Linked DNA regions of Astyanax mexicanus. The protein of the gene in region 2 purifies or fractionates together with the protein of the main gene of each other region. This does not show direct contact. Links are inferred from orthologs where the notes say so. Each region holds a gene or a part of one and is shown on either strand. Other genes may lie near its edges.

What was found. Proteins that work in one complex are often made in the same cells at the same time.
Region 1: the proteins of prpf8 (region 2) and snrpa1 fractionate together in Homo sapiens (co-fractionation; 3 studies listed by BioGRID, with this or other methods). This does not show direct contact. The link is inferred for Astyanax mexicanus from reciprocal best matches to the Homo sapiens genes PRPF8 and SNRPA1.

What each region holds. Positions count from the first base shown.
Region 1 is NC_064423.1:9,652,355-9,660,584, forward strand, and holds the start of snrpa1 (U2 small nuclear ribonucleoprotein A'), read left to right. Parts: upstream 1-4,636; 5' UTR 4,637-4,728; exon of another isoform or gene 4,729-4,825; 5' UTR 4,826-4,837; coding exon 4,838-4,919; intron 4,920-7,526; coding exon 7,527-7,674; intron 7,675-8,230. UniProt on the Homo sapiens protein: Involved in pre-mRNA splicing as component of the spliceosome. Associated with sn-RNP U2, where it contributes to the binding of stem loop IV of U2 snRNA.
Region 2 is NC_064425.1:24,552,168-24,561,207, forward strand, and holds the start of prpf8 (pre-mRNA-processing-splicing factor 8), read left to right. Parts: upstream 1-5,379; 5' UTR 5,380-5,489; intron 5,490-6,827; 5' UTR 6,828-6,838; coding exon 6,839-6,932; intron 6,933-7,032; coding exon 7,033-7,201; intron 7,202-7,314; coding exon 7,315-7,479; intron 7,480-7,577; coding exon 7,578-7,796; intron 7,797-7,876; coding exon 7,877-8,089; intron 8,090-8,198; coding exon 8,199-8,324; intron 8,325-8,414; coding exon 8,415-8,520; intron 8,521-8,665; coding exon 8,666-8,856; intron 8,857-8,967; coding exon 8,968-9,040. Other genes in the region: myo1cb (myosin Ic, paralog b), read right to left, coding at 988-1,080. UniProt on the Homo sapiens protein: Plays a role in pre-mRNA splicing as core component of precatalytic, catalytic and postcatalytic spliceosomal complexes, both of the predominant U2-type spliceosome and the minor U12-type spliceosome.

The sequences.
Region 1 (8,230 bases), on a different chromosome or scaffold from region 2:
AAAATCTTACTTAACATCCCTACAACTAAAAGTCCTTCCCTTTTAACTAAATATAAATAAAAGCCACCCAAGAGCAGCATGGGAGCACAAATGTATTTACCACTTTTTGAGGATTATCTGGCAATAGATTGGGCGTAAACTGTTCTGTTGGGCAGGCCCTGTTGGGTCTCTATAGGGGGATATTGCATGGGTTGTTTTTGGGAAGTGCTTGTGCTAAACATAAAGCTATCTGGTATTTACATGCATAAGAAGTCAAATTGGGGTCTTCAAAGTTGACAAGAAAATAAATCACGAAAAAAAAGTCACAAAAATAATCTGATTTTGCAAACAAAATATTTCACTTGCAATTTTTAGTTTAGGATGAATCTTTTGCAATACCACTTTTTCTTTTTGTTTTGCAATTTGCGTTCCTTTTTGTCTTTTTGCAGTACTTTCCCTCTTTTGCGTTCCTCCATTTTGTTTGTGAGTCTATTTTGACCCCTTTTTGACGTGGGGGTGTGCGGAGAGGAGAGGGGCGTGGTCAGGATGGAAAGGCGGGTTATGGAGGATTCACGTCAGCAGCTGCAGAGATCGGCAGGGGACTTATTTCGGCGCAACACCAGCAAACATATTACACACAGCTGATCCAACTAATGAACAAACTGCCCTCACCAAGAGCTGAGAGTGTTACAGCAGAAACACACTTACCCTGCAGAACAGAGTAACTCCAGAACCAGATTTAAATACTGTAGCACTTTTTACCATTTACCGCCTTATTATGCTGTGAAATAAATTAGAGATGTTTGGTGTTTCTGGCTCGTTGTTTTAGTACACATTTAGACGACATTAAGATTTGTCCTTAAAAAACTAATTAAGTCTTTTTACATTACGTGTTTTAGACTCTATGGTTCTTCAGTTAGCTGGGTTAACTTTGTGGTTCTGGAGTAACACTGTCCTTCTAGTTTTTCTGCTGTATCACACAACTCACCTCAGTGAGGGCAAATAGTTGACTAGTTAGTTGTTAGTTGATTATTTGAATCAGGTGTTGTAATTAGTATAAACTAATGGCTATAATTAAATACTAAACCTGCAGAGAAGCGCTGCTCCTAAACTGAGAACAACGTTCTCTTATTATCTGCCTTTTAAAGCTCTAACACAGACTACACTGCTCCACAGCACCAGACTGAAAGAGTTTTCACCTGTTTAAATACTTTAATGATCCTCTGTGAAGAAGAACAATAATCTAAAACGCGATCCTGCCATTCCCTGCCACTGTGCTGTGAGGTTAGTTAAGCACAGTTAAATCTCGAAATTCAGAGGATCCAGTGATGTTCAGGAGGTAAATGTACACAGAATAAAACGTACAGGGTTCTGAACATATTTATTTACCACAGAATGTGATATAGAGACCAGTTTTAGAAAAGCCTTTTAATTTTTTTACCATAGGTCTGAACCTATTAGACACGGAACCCCAAATATGGGCATAAACAATATGGCGCCGACTACAAAATTACTACACGACTTCATTGGTCTATATAACTCAGATAGAATAGAAATATCAAACAGAACAAACAAAAAAGAAAAAAAATATGTGTTGTTCTTCATGATTTTAACAGCCATATATAACGCTCTGGCAATTAGGCTCACTGTGCGATTCGACAGTTTCTTATACTATAAAAGGCTCATTAAATCGATTTAATCATTTGTACGATTTCCAATGTCATTATGCAAAATATCAAAAGTAATATTTGCTCTTTAGTGTGAAGTACTGTATCTTACATCTGACATTTAGGTTTTTATTCTTATTATTATTACTATTTTAATCATTAATATTGTATGGCTTTATATGGACAACTTTATATGGACACACTGCACATGTGTATCTAGCTGTATCTCACAGTCTCTCTCTTTTTATTGCATAATATCACATTCTGGTATGAGTAATTTTTCTTTCTATTTTTCAGACGTGTGTACTTGTGTGTATCTGTATATACGTTCCTGGAACAGTCTAATTCCCCCAGGGAGATTAATAAATTATGTTTTATGTTACGTTCCGTTTTGTTATCTTAATGTATCTACGTTATATTAAAGTCTAAATTAAACTTACTGTGTTTTTTTTCCCTTTTTATTCAGAGCCTCTGCACAGCGTTGTGTTTTATTGGGGCTTTTCATTGTTAAAATCCGCCATCTACAGGCGGCCGCGTGTAACTCACAGTGAGTGAAAAAGAAGCCAAATTCAGTCTTGTTCTCAATTTAACAACTAAAAATAACAATATTATATAATTCAATAATTATGTGTATGTAAAATTATTAGCATTCACTTACGAACTGTAAATAGTTGTTGTTCAGGCTGGTTAGCTTGGTCGGGGCGGCTGGTTGAGCTGGCCGGTTTTCTATCGAGTTGTGCTACCCTGTCAAACCATGCTACCGTAGTGTATATTTAAACGTAAAAATGCTAAAAGAAAAAAAAGTCCCATATTTAAAAATGGTTTCACCATATCAGGATACCTATGGAAGCCCATTTCCGCCACCTGAAGAAAAAAAAAAACGTCCTCAACTAAGTCATAATTATGAGATAGAAAAGTCTTAATTATGGGATAGTAAGTCATAGTTATGAGATAGTAAGTCATAATTATGAGATAGTAAGTCATAATTATGAGATAGTAAGTCATAATTATGAGATAGTAAGTCATAATTATGAGATACTACGTCATAATTATGAGATAGTAAGTCATAATTATGAGATAAAAAAGTCATAATTATGAGATAGTAAGTCATAATTATGAGATAGAAAAGTCATAATTATGGGATAGTAAGTCATAATTATGAGATAGTAAGTCATAATTATGAGATACTAAGTCATAATTATGAGATAGTAAGTCATAATTATGAGATAAAAAAGTCATAATTATGAGATAGTAAGTCATATTTATGAGATAAAAAGTCATAATTATGAGATACTAAGTCATAATTATGAGATAGTAAGTCATAATTATGAGATAAAAAAGTCATAATTATGAGATAGTAAGTCATATTTATGAGATAAAAAGTCATCTCATAATTATGACTTTCTATCTCATAATTATGACTTTCTATCTCATAATTATGACATAGTATCTCATAATTATGACTTACTATCTCATAATTATGACTTACTATCCCATAATTATGACTTTTCTATCTCATAATTATGACTTACTATCCCATAATTATGACTTTTCTATCTCATAATTATGACTTAGTTGAGGACGTTTTTTTTCTTCAGGTGGCGGAAATGGGCTTCCATAGGGATACAGTTTGGAGTTAATAGGAATGATTATAAACCGTATTTATTTTTTCGTTGCTCATGTATTACTTTTATTATTATTAATTCACACATTTGTAACACAAATAATGTCAGGGAACTCCGATTGTTTAATGCACCCAAGAAGAACAGAAATGCTATAAAATAAATGGATAAAATTCATTAATAATTTGTTTTTTAAATGTGCGCATGGTGCGCACTGGCGATGAGAAGCACATTTCGATGAGTAGCACAACTCGGACAGAACACCTGTCTGACGTGATCTTCCACAACCCGTGTTTCCATCTTGGCCACGCCCCTCTCCTCTCCCCACACCCCCACACCAAAAAGGAACTCGCAAATAAAGGTGCTTGCACACTGAACGCGGTATGCCGCGCGGCATTCCGCTGTGCTGCCGCTCTGCTCTACGCTGGTCAGTTGCGGGTGCGTTGCGCTGCTGCTGACGCCAAGCGTCTCCTGCTGATAATAGGCGGAGTTTTCTAAAACCCATCACCTCTGTGAGCGGTGTTTTGTAGTTTTGAGTCTCTACAGCCTCTGTGCATCTGTATATGTTTCTCAGCCTCAGAACAAAGCTCTGATTCTTCTCTTCCTCCTGTTATCTCTATATGAGTGTAGGGAAGTGATGTACAGCTGAGGGGATTCACTAATCGCTATTATTAGTCTCTCGCGCACGTTTATTGTTGTTTGGACTACAGTTTCTCTCTAGTCGCGTGAGTTCACGTCATGCGTTTTCTGCCGAGGTACCGCTTGCCGCGAGGTCAAAGTTGAACCATGTTGAACTTTGCCCGCGGTAAGCGGTAGCGCGGTGGAGGCGTGGTTATGGGCGGGGAAACGCGCCGCTTTCCGCTCTGCTCCGCGGCAGCGACGCACCGCTCTACCGCTCTAGACACTATTGAATCCTATGGGGGTCAGCGTACCGCGCCGCACCTACCGCGTGCAGTGTGCAAGCACCTTTAAACGGAGGAACGCAAAAGCAGGGAAGTACTGCAAAAAGAAAACACAGAAAAAGTGGTGTTGCAATATCAGATTTTTTTGCAACTTGTGAAGATTTTTTTCATGATAATTTAATTTTCTCGTCATGCGGGGCACCTGAATATGTTGACAGGGAAAGAAATAACGCATTAAAAAAGAAAGAACAAAACAAAGAGAAATGTGATTGTAAAGAAGGAAATAAAGAAAGAGAGAGAGAGTGAAAGAAAGAGAAAACTTTACAGAAGAAAGAAAGAGAGAGAGAGAGTGAAAGAGACAGAAAACTTTACAGAAGAAACTTTACAGAAGAAAAAAGAGAGAGAGAGAGAGAGTGAAAGAGAAAAATTAAAGCACATTGAGGGTAAATGTGTTCAGTAGCGCCTCCAGGCCGCGCGGGGCAGCAGTGCGGGAGTGTCCGCTCTGCAGCTACTTCCTGACGGCAGCGCGTGCGTTGTGTGTCCGCAGTGCTGCTGGCGGTAAATGAGCAGAGATTCCGGGCCGGGTGTTTGTTTGGTGTTTATTTGAGTTTATTCTGAATTAAACCGGTTTATTTTACTCATCTCTCCGCTTCAGTTCGGCAGCAGCATGGTGAAGCTCTCGGCTGAGCTGATAGAACAGGCGGCTCAGTACACCAACCCCGTCCGGGACCGAGAACTGGACCTGAGAGGTGAGAGACTACAATAACATATATACAGACTTTATACAGTTTAATTACTTTATCTAGCGTACAGAGCTGATAATACTAGTCTTCTTCAGGCAGACTGGTGGCTGTAGATGATCTGTAGTAGGGGGGGGGGGGGATATCACAGTGCTCTATGTGTTTAAGACAAGACAGGTTGGGGTGGTGGCTTTGTGCAGATCTGCATCAGGATACTCTGTTCTGCTGTAGCTCTTTATTATCTCTGGGTGAAGGTTAAGGTCTTTTTAATATAAAATGTTTTTTAGTATATATACATACAGCTCTGGAAAAAATAAGAGACCAATTCATTTTCTGAATCAGTTTCTCTGATTTAGCTATTTTTAGGTATATGTTTGAGAAAAATGAACATTGTTGTTTTATTCTATAAACTACGGACAACATTTCACCCAAATTCCAAATAAAAATATTGTCATTTAAAGCATTTATTTGCAGATAATGAGAAATGGCTGAAATAACAATAAAGATGCAGAGCTTTCAGACCTCAAATAATGCAAAGAAAACAAGTTCATTTTCAGAAATCAATATTTGGTGGAATAACCCTGGTTTTTAATTACAGTTTTTATGCATCTTGTCATGTTCTCCTCAACCAGTCTTACACACTGCTTTTGCATAATTGTATGCCTTTATTCCTGGTGAAGAATTCAAGCAGTTCAGTTTGGTTTGATGGTTTGTGATCATCCATCTTCCTCTTGATTATATTCCAGAGGTTTCCATTATTTCATTTGGTTAAATAAAAAAAAAAAAACTCAATTTTTAAATTGTCTAATTTTTTTCCAGAGCTGTACAAGGTGTAAAATGACCACACTTTGAAGAAAGTGTATCAGTATTATTCTCTGCTTGAGACCTGTTTCCCTAAAAAATCAGTGTTTCTCAGCCCGGGTCCTGTAGCACCTCCTACCTCAATAATTACACAGTTTAATGGATTCATAGTTAGCTGATTTGATGTGACTTGTTTGCTGTATTGACATTTACATAGCAGGGGAGTCACTGCCTTAAAGACTCTCAGGTGAAATTTGTTTATTTATTAAATAAATGTATAATGTATGAATAGGGGTGGGCAATGTGGCCCTAAAATAATATAGGTAAATTATTATTATTTTTGCAAAAAAAAAATAAAAATAAAATTAAATTTTGTTATTACACACGATATGATATGGCATACCCCTAACTGAGGTATTGTCAGATTTGTAACAGCAGTCAATGATCTGGAATATCTTCATATATTCATGATTAAAGTAAAATAAATAATGCTGGACAGGAATAATCTATTCCTATAATTCCAATAATACGCAATATTATTGTGTATGATCTAATATGTCGCACTTCTTATTGTAAATGACCTTTTTAAAAAGTTCTTTTTAAACGTTTTAAAAGAATCTCCACAGAATCTTTTTTTTTTTTTGCATATGTATACAGTACCAGTGAAAAGTTTGGGCAAATCTTCTCATTTGATGTTTTTCTGTACACTGTGGTCCAAATTATTAAACAAGTGATATTTTTCTTAGATTTTCCTAAAGGATCAATGCGAATGACAGTCGTGATAATTTCTAAGTCATGACCCGTTAAGTGTAGCTTCTTTCTTTCTTTTTTTTTTCATTTTTTTTTTTAAACAAACCTTCCAATGGTAACAGTAATTATTTTTAAAATAAAAAGTTTTTTTTTCTTAGTAACATAGTCGCTGTGAAGTGTGGAGAATAGTTTTGCGATATATATTAATTATCGCTGAATTGCAGTTTTGAGATCACCGTTTTCATTAATTTACCACAGCTGAAAAGTGCTGGAAAAACTTGAAAATGGGACTTGAAAGTGCTGGAATTTTACCTTGTAAAAGGTGTATGAACCCAGAAGGATCTCTCTGCTGCTGAAAGGTGTGAAATAGTGCAATGCTTTGGACAAGGTGTAAAAACATTATAAACACAATATTTCACAAAAACTTCAGCGTGATAATCATACTGTGCAGAGATTTGTGGCTGATTCAGAGCACAGACAGGTTTGTGCAGATAAAGGCAAAATGAGGAAGGTTTCTGACAGACAGATTCATCGGATTAAGAGAGCAGATGCTAAAATGTCATCACAAACAAGAAAACAGATATTTGAATCTGCTGGTGCCTCTGGAGTCTCACAAACCTCAAGTTGTAGGATCTTCCAGAGGCTTACAACAGAGCTCACAAGCAAAAACGGCCCAGACGTACATGAAGACTACTTCTTTGATTGGATTTATGCTGAGGGGTTCGTGATTTGAAATTGAATGACTGTCATTTACATTGACCATTTAGGAAAATCTGAGTAAAATATCAATAGCATAATAAAGACATGAAAACAATTAAAGCGCAAACATGGAGTAAATAAATAATAAAAAAAAAATTGGCCTCCACAATCCCTATGACCTTATCCCAGCTGAGATAGGTGTCCACATTTACGGCCCATCTGATTTTTTTATTGTCATGGAACCTCAAAACAGTATAAAGTAAAGCTTTAGTTAAAGCTTTATTTCTTTAGTCTTAGCTCGGCTGTAAAATTCAGGCCAGGTTCTGCCGTGGTTTCCTCAGTTCATCATGTGTCTTTGTGTCTCAGGTTACAAAATCCCAGTGCTGGAGAATCTCGGTGCCACTCTGGACCAGTTTGACACCATTGACTTCTCTGATAATGAGATCAGAAAGCTTGATGGGTTTCCACTGCTCAAGAGGCTGAAGACCGTGCTGATGAACAACAACCGCATCTGGTGAGAGAAGAGAGACTTTCAGCGGCTCCTGTTTATCAGTGAGAAGTGGGTCAGAAGAAGTGTGGGTAGTTTTTAAATTAGCAATAGTTACAAGCTGCACTCACTTAAAAGATTTAAATTATGTTTTGAGAGTGTGTATCTGTTTGCTTAACTAGTCATTTAATCATAATAATGAAAAAGAAGAATGTTCCTCTTAATATTTTAGTATTTTTCTTTAATTATATAGTCTGTTAGGACAGGGATTCTCTTAGTTGGTCTTAGCCTGGGACCCACATTTTCTCATGGTCATTAAGTTGCGACCCACTTTTATAGAGTAGACTACAAACTAAACAAATATTTTTGAAAAATAGCCTTCAAAAACTCATTTTAACATGCATAATCATGCAAAGTGAATTTAAGAGTAATTAATTCACATGACAATAAAACATCAAAACAAAACAATCACTTCTCTGCATTCTTACATTAGTAATAAACTTGCTCTGTCTCCTTTTTCCCAATGTAGTACAATAGTACAAAATCAGATGAGCATTGATTTATATATATATATATACACACA
Region 2 (9,040 bases):
AAGTTCACAAGTTCACAGAATTGGAATATTATCAGAGTACAGTACATTGATCCTATCCAAACTATTAGAGTACTGCTTTAATATCAGATGTGAAATGTGCATGCTTCCCCTTTATCATGTGAGCATGGGTCATATGCTAGTAGATGAGAAGAAGAAAGTGAATGCTTAAATAATATTTCACAATACTTCTAGAAAGACAAATGCTTTATTCTACTATGCAGGCACATGCTTACTATAAAGGACAGCCACTATAATAAAAACACAGACAAATTAATTTTAATATACTATAGTTCAAATTGTTATTCCATATTAGACATTTTTGTTTTTCAATATTACAGTATATACAATGCTGATTTAAAGACTTTAAAATAGACAACATAATGTCCTATAGCTAGTGTATTTTTTAACAATAAATATACTGATACTGTAAAAAATACAGTATCATCCTAACCCTAACTTTATAACGTTAGTGTTAAATAATGCAATGTGGCTGTTTACAAGTAATTCTGGAGACTTTCCACAGTAATTTTTATTATTTTTTCACAAGGTGCAGGACATCTGATATCTGTAATTATCATGGACATTTTAAGAAAAAAACATATTCTGTTATCTGTTTATTGGGATTTTCTGGGGATAGGTTCCGTGCATCCAATACAGTGCCTAAAACATATTAATCATATTAATTTCTGTATTTTCTGTATAGTTTTATTGTGAAACACCCTACTAATTACATGTATCAACATCAAATAGTTTAATATAGCTATTATACACATTCATCTGGCACCACACTGGATTTATAGTATTTATAAACTTTAAAATGGCTTTGAGCTTGCACATACTGAATGCAGCATCATCTCTCTGTGTTGTTAGTAATGCACTTTTATTATAAGTAAGACCCAGTGCTATAATCTCATAACAACAATCTATTACACCAGCTTCCAGTTCCACTACAGTTCAAAACAAGTCATTAGACATGCTCTCTCTTACCTTGGAGCAGCTGTGACAGTAGCTCTCTCCATTCATCCCTGGAGAGAGGATGATCTCCCCTGTTGGGACCAACTGAATCTTCAGCTCCATCATGATGGCTGCTGTCTCCTTGTGTTCCCTTCTTCCTCACTGACAGTGTGCCTGATCCTTTCACACCACTGTCGTTCCTCAGCAGATGCTGGAGATGGTTGGAACAGAGTAAAAACACTTTGCTATGGCCAGTAAAGTAGAGAAGTAGTGAAAACTGAGCAAATATAAGCAGTGAAAGCTAATGAGAGACAGGGTGGAGTAAGTAGTGTTACCTGCGGCAGTAAGAGAGCTACTGCCAGCTTCCTCTGTTAAGCAAGAGAGAGATATGTGGGGATGTCCGGGCCTCTTCCCAAAGCCAGCCCCAGTATAATTGATGTTCCTTCTTTGCCGCTCCGCTCAGGACGGCGAGGGTTTGCCGCCAGGGTTTCCTCCAAACTCCAGCATCCTGTCCTCGACATTCTCTGAGTAAACACCAGAGGAAGCCACGCTGCTTCCCCTTCATATACAACATTAACTTAGTCCTTACACCATACACTACTTTAAGGAAAACCTTTTTACAATTTTCCCTAAAAACTCACATCCAACATTTGTATCTACTGTTTTATAGACAGATAAGGTTGGTGGCAGGATATGGCACCATTAGGCAACCACAAGCTTTCACATTTGATAGACAGGCTTTAAATATCTCCATCTCCGCTGACCCTCAACCTGACAGGCCTGTGACCGAGACATTCCTGTTCCTGTTCCTGAGCAGCGATTAGACTTGCTTTCTTAAGCTCTCACAGATAACACAATGTTAAAACAATATTTAATGTTAAATGGTTGTGAAAATTTTGAAATGTACTCATCCTTCTGCTCTTTGAATTAGCATTTGAAATTTCATCACCATACTGTTGAATCAGATTGGTAGTGGTGGGTAACATTCTTTATACTCAGCTTTACTACAGTGATGTAAGTTTATTGTTAACCCTTTGTTATCAATAGGATTTTCTAGTTTTAGCTACGTGTAGTAATTGCTTTTTGTTTGTAATTGTACAGTTCCTACTTCTCAGAGTTGTATATTTAGAGAGAGAATAAAAATAAAAAAATTACTTTTTTTATGATGGTATACAGTTTTTATTCCTGTTTTTTTTTTATACTTTAATACAATTTTGAGCATCCCGACTGTGAGATATGGTTTATTACAGGTTGAACATTGAAACAACTTCGCCATATACACGTTTAACTGATTCAACGTTAAAATGCCAGTTGGGTACAAATTAATACTTCTAGTTATTTAACAAGGTACACACATGATAGGCTCCAGCCCCCCCATTTTATTTCAAGCCATATTTCAGACAAAACATATATTAAAGACTGAAGGGCTATAATGAGTTTGTGTGGGGGTGGGGGTGTGTGTGGTACCTATTCTTGTCAGTGATGGGTGTTCCATTAAAATATAGCACTGTTAAAAGAGGAAATGACACACGCACACATCCTATGACCTGTGACACGGCTGAGACATTCATGATTTCTGGGTATCAACAGGAAACAGCAGTTTTGACGTCCCACCGTGATGAAGTGAGCCTTGGCAGAAGCATAGCTAATGTCACTATGTGGTTTATTAAGTAAGAAAATTAGTAGTTGGCATCTCATATTCACGGTAAACCTGGGTCAACTGCATTCTTAGCTTGGTCTGAGGGATCATGCTTGTTTAAGTTGTTGTGTACTGTATATGCAGTCATGTCCTAAAGTGTTGGCACATGTGAAATTTCTCCAAATTAAAAGGATTCTACACATGTTTATTTATTTGTGTGTATTGGAACAACACAAAAAGTAGAGAAACAATGGAAAATCTTACATTATTTCACACATAACTCATCATTAAATTTGAAAATTGCCATACCAGTATAGGGAGCAGTTTCAGAATGCTTCAAAAAGCATCCAGTGTGATAAGATGGATGGAATCAAAGTGCTGGAGAGTTTTGAACTGGACAGCAATGAGTCCGGACCTAAATCCTGTTGAATACCTGTGGAGAGATCTTAAAATTCCAGTTGAGAGGTGTAAGAAGCTTGTTAATGGTTATAGTAAGTATAAAAATATGACTTTTGGAGAACATGCTTAGGTTTTAAGTTGAACATTAGCTGACAAGATTCTGAGGTTCAGTAACGCTACTCTAAAATGCACTTTGTATTTATAGGAGCAAAAGTGGCTTTAGCCTAGCACAGTTGGATTAGCTTCCTCTTATGCTAAATATGAATTTGCAGTATCTTCTGCTGATACTGTCCCATGAAAAGCCACAGTCACAATGGCCTAGTTCAGGTAGCAACCAGTTTTCTGTTAACTAAAGTCTGGTGGTGGTGATGTGCATGCTTGTCTTAGAAAACTAAATAAAGTATTAATAAACATCATACTCTCCCAGCGTGGCCAATATGTTTTACTGCATTGTAGCTTTGCTTGTGGGCTGGATGTTGGATTGGGCTAATTGGTTAGATTATGCCAGATTTCTTTTTACATAAAAAGACATCAGTATTTGACAGTGTCATTTCTATGTACCAAACTCAGCTATGCCAAGGTCAACACAGTTTTCCATTCAAGGACACTTTAAATAAAGTTTTCAAACTACATCAAACTCTTTTGTCTTAAACCAAAAAGGAAAAGGCTGTTTATCATGATGTGGGTCCTTTAACAGTGATTGCCAAGAGACATAAATGCTCATTAATAAACAGGGAAGTTGAAATGCCATCTGCTGTGTGTGACAAGTTACCCATCAAACAGAGACATCTTTGCAGGAGGAAGCACAGTGAGTGTGCTTCCTGTCCTCTCCCTTCCATCTCTTTTTTCCATCTCTGAAATGCCCACCCCAAGTATACACTTTTATAGCTCAGAGGAGCTGGTAAATCCACTCCCCTGCAAGGACACACAATTTGGGTGTTGAAATAAATGGTCCATATTAAAATTTAGACTACAGAGTTAAAAGCAGCAGGAACTTTCAGAACATACCCCTTATAAGGCTGTAGAGGGTGGCCTGAGATGGGGATGTAGAGGAATGGCATCCTGTTTGGGAGAGCTGCCAGCTGGAGGGAAATTGAGAAGAGAAGTTATGTCAGGAGATGACAGGTGAAGGGCACTACACAGCTACTAAACACTGTGGCACAGCAGCGACTATAATGAGCTGAGTGACAGAATAATTTTGAAACAGTATTGTCTATTTTTAAATTAAAGGGTCAGAATACACAATATTTCACTGTCACTCTGTTCCCACAACATTACAGTGTGTCCTACTCAGCTTCCTTTGTTGGCTTTAGTATTCTGCCCACAGGAAAAATGAGCAGTAGCCTCTACTGGGAGTGATGATGAGTGTTTGATTTGTTGCCTGGTGCAGTGCCATATCTTCCATGATGGAAACTGTGCTTAGTAACTTCATGAGCAAAACTAAGACCCATGAGGTAAGGCTGGAAAGCAATGTTATTTTTTATATAGAGGGCCCACATATTATATTGTGTATGTAATATAGTTACACAATTGCATTATGACATTGTGTAGACTCTATTTTAACCAAGACATAATAAAACTACATAAAAACAATATTCATTATCAGTAGCAAATGTTTTCATATATTTACCTTATTATATATTTAACTGGATATTTACTCACATAAAGAACAATGTATGGTCGTACAGCTTTAATATTGTAAATGTAAACTTATTTTTTTATTATTCTGTTCATTACAGGTACCTATGCCCACGAGTTGCTTTTACCGATAACGCCATCTGCTGGGGACTCTTCACATATAAATGTCTTGACGTGACAAATGTAAATTCGTAAACATATAAATTATATATAGAATTAAAATGAGGAAATACATAGCTTAAAGAAAATATTAGATTTTTTTGTTTAGTAACAACAACAACAACAACAACAACAACAACAACAACAATAATAATAATAATAATAATAATAATAATAATAATAATAATAATAGTAATAATAATAACAATAATTATTGTTATTATTATTATTATTATTATTATTATTATTAATGTTAATATTAATATTAATATAAATATTATATATTTTTTGCCTTAACTTTTTATATATTTTTTTCAAATTTATTTCTTAAATGTGCAAAACATAAACATAAAAAATAAGACATTGTTAGTTTTCGCGCTATATTTTCTTTAAGCAAAATAGTTCTTCATTTTTATTGTTTTTAATATATTTGAACATTAAATTAAATGTAAAATAAAACAACTGCGTTTACAAACTTTTAACGGGCTCCAAACGGAAACTGTATTATTTCCTCATCCGGGGCTTTGGATACGCATGTTTTAGTGGTCCTGCGTAAAGGGTTACTCCTTCTTTGCGATTCAGAGTAGGAAACTTCGCACTTCGCGGTGGTGAATTGTGTGTTGTTACGCACAACGTGTGGAATCGTTTCTCGGAGCGCCATTCTGCAGGAAACTCCGGAGAAACTCTGGGTTTAAACACAGTAAGATGTTTTTAATGCTGTATTAAACTGAGGCGTTCTCTGGGTATAGTTTTATAGATTCATATTTGCTAAATGTTTGTTTATGGGCATGCTCTGTAACCTGTGAGAGAGTTATAGCTAAACCCGTTAGCCTCGGCTCGTGCTTTGTTACGTAGTTAGCTGAAGCTAGCTATCGTGCTAAGGTAACGCTAGCTTGGTTTAATCCAAATACTATTGCGACTCGTATTAAACACAGTTCGGCTCTGGTTTATTTTTATTTTGTGTTGTGTGAGAATGCGCCTGTTGGTTACAGTTTATAGCTAAACAAATAATTTGCGGCTCGTTAGCCACTTTGTTAGTAGCCAGAGCGTAGCTGTAGTGTGGATAATGCTTTAGCGTAAGCGGGTAAATTAGTTGGCATGGCTAGCTGTTAGCTAACGCCGGCTAGGTTAAAATTGTTAGAATCCAAACAACAATAATTAGAGTTTTGCTTTCTAGTTAAACTTTTCTTCTTTCCGACGGTCACTGAAGGTATCTATTTATTTTTATATTGAATATGAGGCAATGCTAGTTAGCTTAGTTAGCTAAATATTTGTGTTTGTAATAGTTATCCAGCTAGCTAGATAATTAGTGTTACCTTAGGTTAATGTGTCCAATGTGTGTGTTAAAAGCAACAATGCAATTAAAAATGCTTTAAAAATGTTTTCAGTCTAAACTGAATTAAACTTTTTGTGTAAGTTACTTAAATGTATCCATTTGTGATTAAGACAATACAATACAATATATGTGGTGAAAAAATATTTTATTTTACTTTAACCAGTATTTAAAGACTAGGATTTTATTTAAATAGCTTAACTTGGAAGTTTTTGCAGTCCTTAAATATTGTGGTTTTCTGTTCCGAAGGTGGAGAGCAACTCCTTTCTTAGTATTGTAGAAGCTTATATAGCAAAATGCTTTTTAAGGATCTAGCTATGCTATATTGCGGTTTTATAAAAATACAAGACTCACCAGACGTCAGTGGTCCAAATTTTCATATAAAAACGTATAGTGCTCTTATTATTAATTATTATTATTGTTATTATTATTATTATTTTTTTGATGAAAATTAGAACATTATGCTTTATTATTTTTGATCCTATTCCAGGTATTCTGATGCAGCATGCAAAAAAGTTAATTTTATTATTATTATTGCAAAGCAGTGATTTAAGGGATTGTGTAATGTGGCATGTTTTATCTGATCCACAGCTCTGTGAAAGTGTGTTAAAACTGCCAGCTTTGTTCTTTCTGTTTTACATATTCATTTGTTTTGCCATTATGCCATCTTAGACCTAACTGTTCTGCATTGCTGTCTTCCAACAGTAGACGCTGCCATGGCAGCTACATTCCCCTACAGAGGTGTCCCTGGTGTTCCTCCTCCTGCCCCGGTGCCAGACTACATGTCTGAGGAGAAGCTTCAAGAAAAAGGTTTGAATGCACGAAAGCAATGAATTGTTTATTGAACGTGTGCACTATAAATCCTTGTGTTATCAGAATTCTGATACACTTTTGTCTGTTTTAATTCCAGCCCGGAAATGGCAGCAGCTGCAGGCAAAACGCTACTCGGAGAAGAGGAAATTTGGTTTTGTCGATGCTCAGAAAGAGGACATGCCACCAGAGCATGTGCGGAAAATCATTCGGGACCATGGAGATATGACCAACAGGAAATTTCGTCACGACAAACGAGTCTATCTTGGGTAAATATAGAGATTTGTGCACACTTTTTAAAATAATTGTTTAACTGCAAACTTTGTGAAAAAATTGTAACAACTGTTTTTGTAACAGATGATGTGTCTGTTTTTGTCTCTAGGGCTCTGAAGTACATGCCTCATGCAGTACTGAAACTGCTGGAGAATATGCCCATGCCCTGGGAGCAGATCAGAGATGTGCCAGTGCTGTACCACATCACAGGAGCCATTTCCTTTGTAAATGAAATTCCTTGGGTCATTGAACCAGTTTACATTGCACAATGGGGGTAAGTTACCATTGTTCCAATCAAGCTTTGTTTTTTATCAAATGTATAGATTTATTAAACTTTTGAGATTAATCACTTCTTTTTCTGTTTGACGCTAGTACCATGTGGATCATGATGCGTCGTGAGAAAAGAGACAGAAGGCACTTCAAGCGTATGCGCTTTCCTCCCTTTGATGATGAGGAGCCCCCACTGGACTATGCTGATAACATTCTGGATGTGGAGCCCCTGGAAGCCATTCAGATGGAAATGGACCCTGAGGAAGATTGCTCAGTTGTAGAATGGTTTTACGAACACCAGCCACTGAAGGATGCTACCAAGTGAGTCTTTGTCACAATCAACAAAAAAATAAATTTTAGTTTTTTACCACCTTATCTCATTATGTCTCTTTGTCTTTTAGATATGTCAATGGGACGACATACAGACGTTGGCAGTTCACCTTGCCAATGATGTCCACTCTTTATCGGTTAGCCAACCAGCTGCTAACTGATTTAGTGGATAGGAACTACTTCTATTTGTTTGACCTGAAGGCCTTCTTCACTTCAAAGGCCTTAAACATGGCCATTCCTGGAGGGCCCAAATTTGAACCCCTGGTCAGAGACATCAATCTACAGTATGTATACCTGCATTCTTTTTAAGTACACTGTACTAGATTGAATCGTCTCTCCTTTAAGGTCTTTTGAAATTTATGCATGATTTAAGTTTGCCAACTTCTGTTACAGGGATGAAGACTGGAATGAGTTTAACGACATCAACAAGATCATCATCAGACAGCCGATTAGAACAGAGTACAAGATTGCTTTCCCATACTTGTACAATAATCTTCCACATCACGTCCATCTCACTTGGTAAAAAGACCTTTCTTTTTAATGTTTCTTGTGTTTGTGATTTAAAATATAAGTTGATTATAATACATAATTACGATACTGTTTACCCAGGTACCACACTCCTAATGTGGTGTTCATCAAGACAGAGGATCCTGATTTGCCTGCTTTCTACTTTGATCCTCTCATCAATCCCATCTCTCACAGACATTCTGTAAAAGTAAGGACGGTAGTAGTTAGGATTGCTTGGTCTGCATTTATCAGACAAAAGAACAAACTAGTAAAATCTGACTGATGGGTTGTTATGGGTCTTGTGAGTTGATTATTGAATGATTACAATAAAACATATATTATGCTTTCCTCAGAGCCAAGAGCCACTGCCAGACGATGACGAGGAATTTGAGCTTCCTGAGTATGTGGAGCCTTTCCTCAAAGAGACGCCTCTTTATACTGACAACACAGCCAATGGGATTGCCCTTCTCTGGGCCCCACGTCCGTTCAACCTGCGCTCCGGAAGGTCCAGGCGTGCCATCGATGTTCCCCTGATCAAGAATTGGTGAGCTCTGAATTATAATACTTGTAGCTTGCTTAGTCTTTTCAATGACATAAGTGTTGGACACTTAGGTCTTTTTTTGATTGTAGTATCATTTTTAATTCATTAATTCAGGTACAGGGAACACTGCCCTGCTGGACAGCCTGTGAAAGTACGTGTGTCCTACCAGAAGCTCCTGAAGTACTAT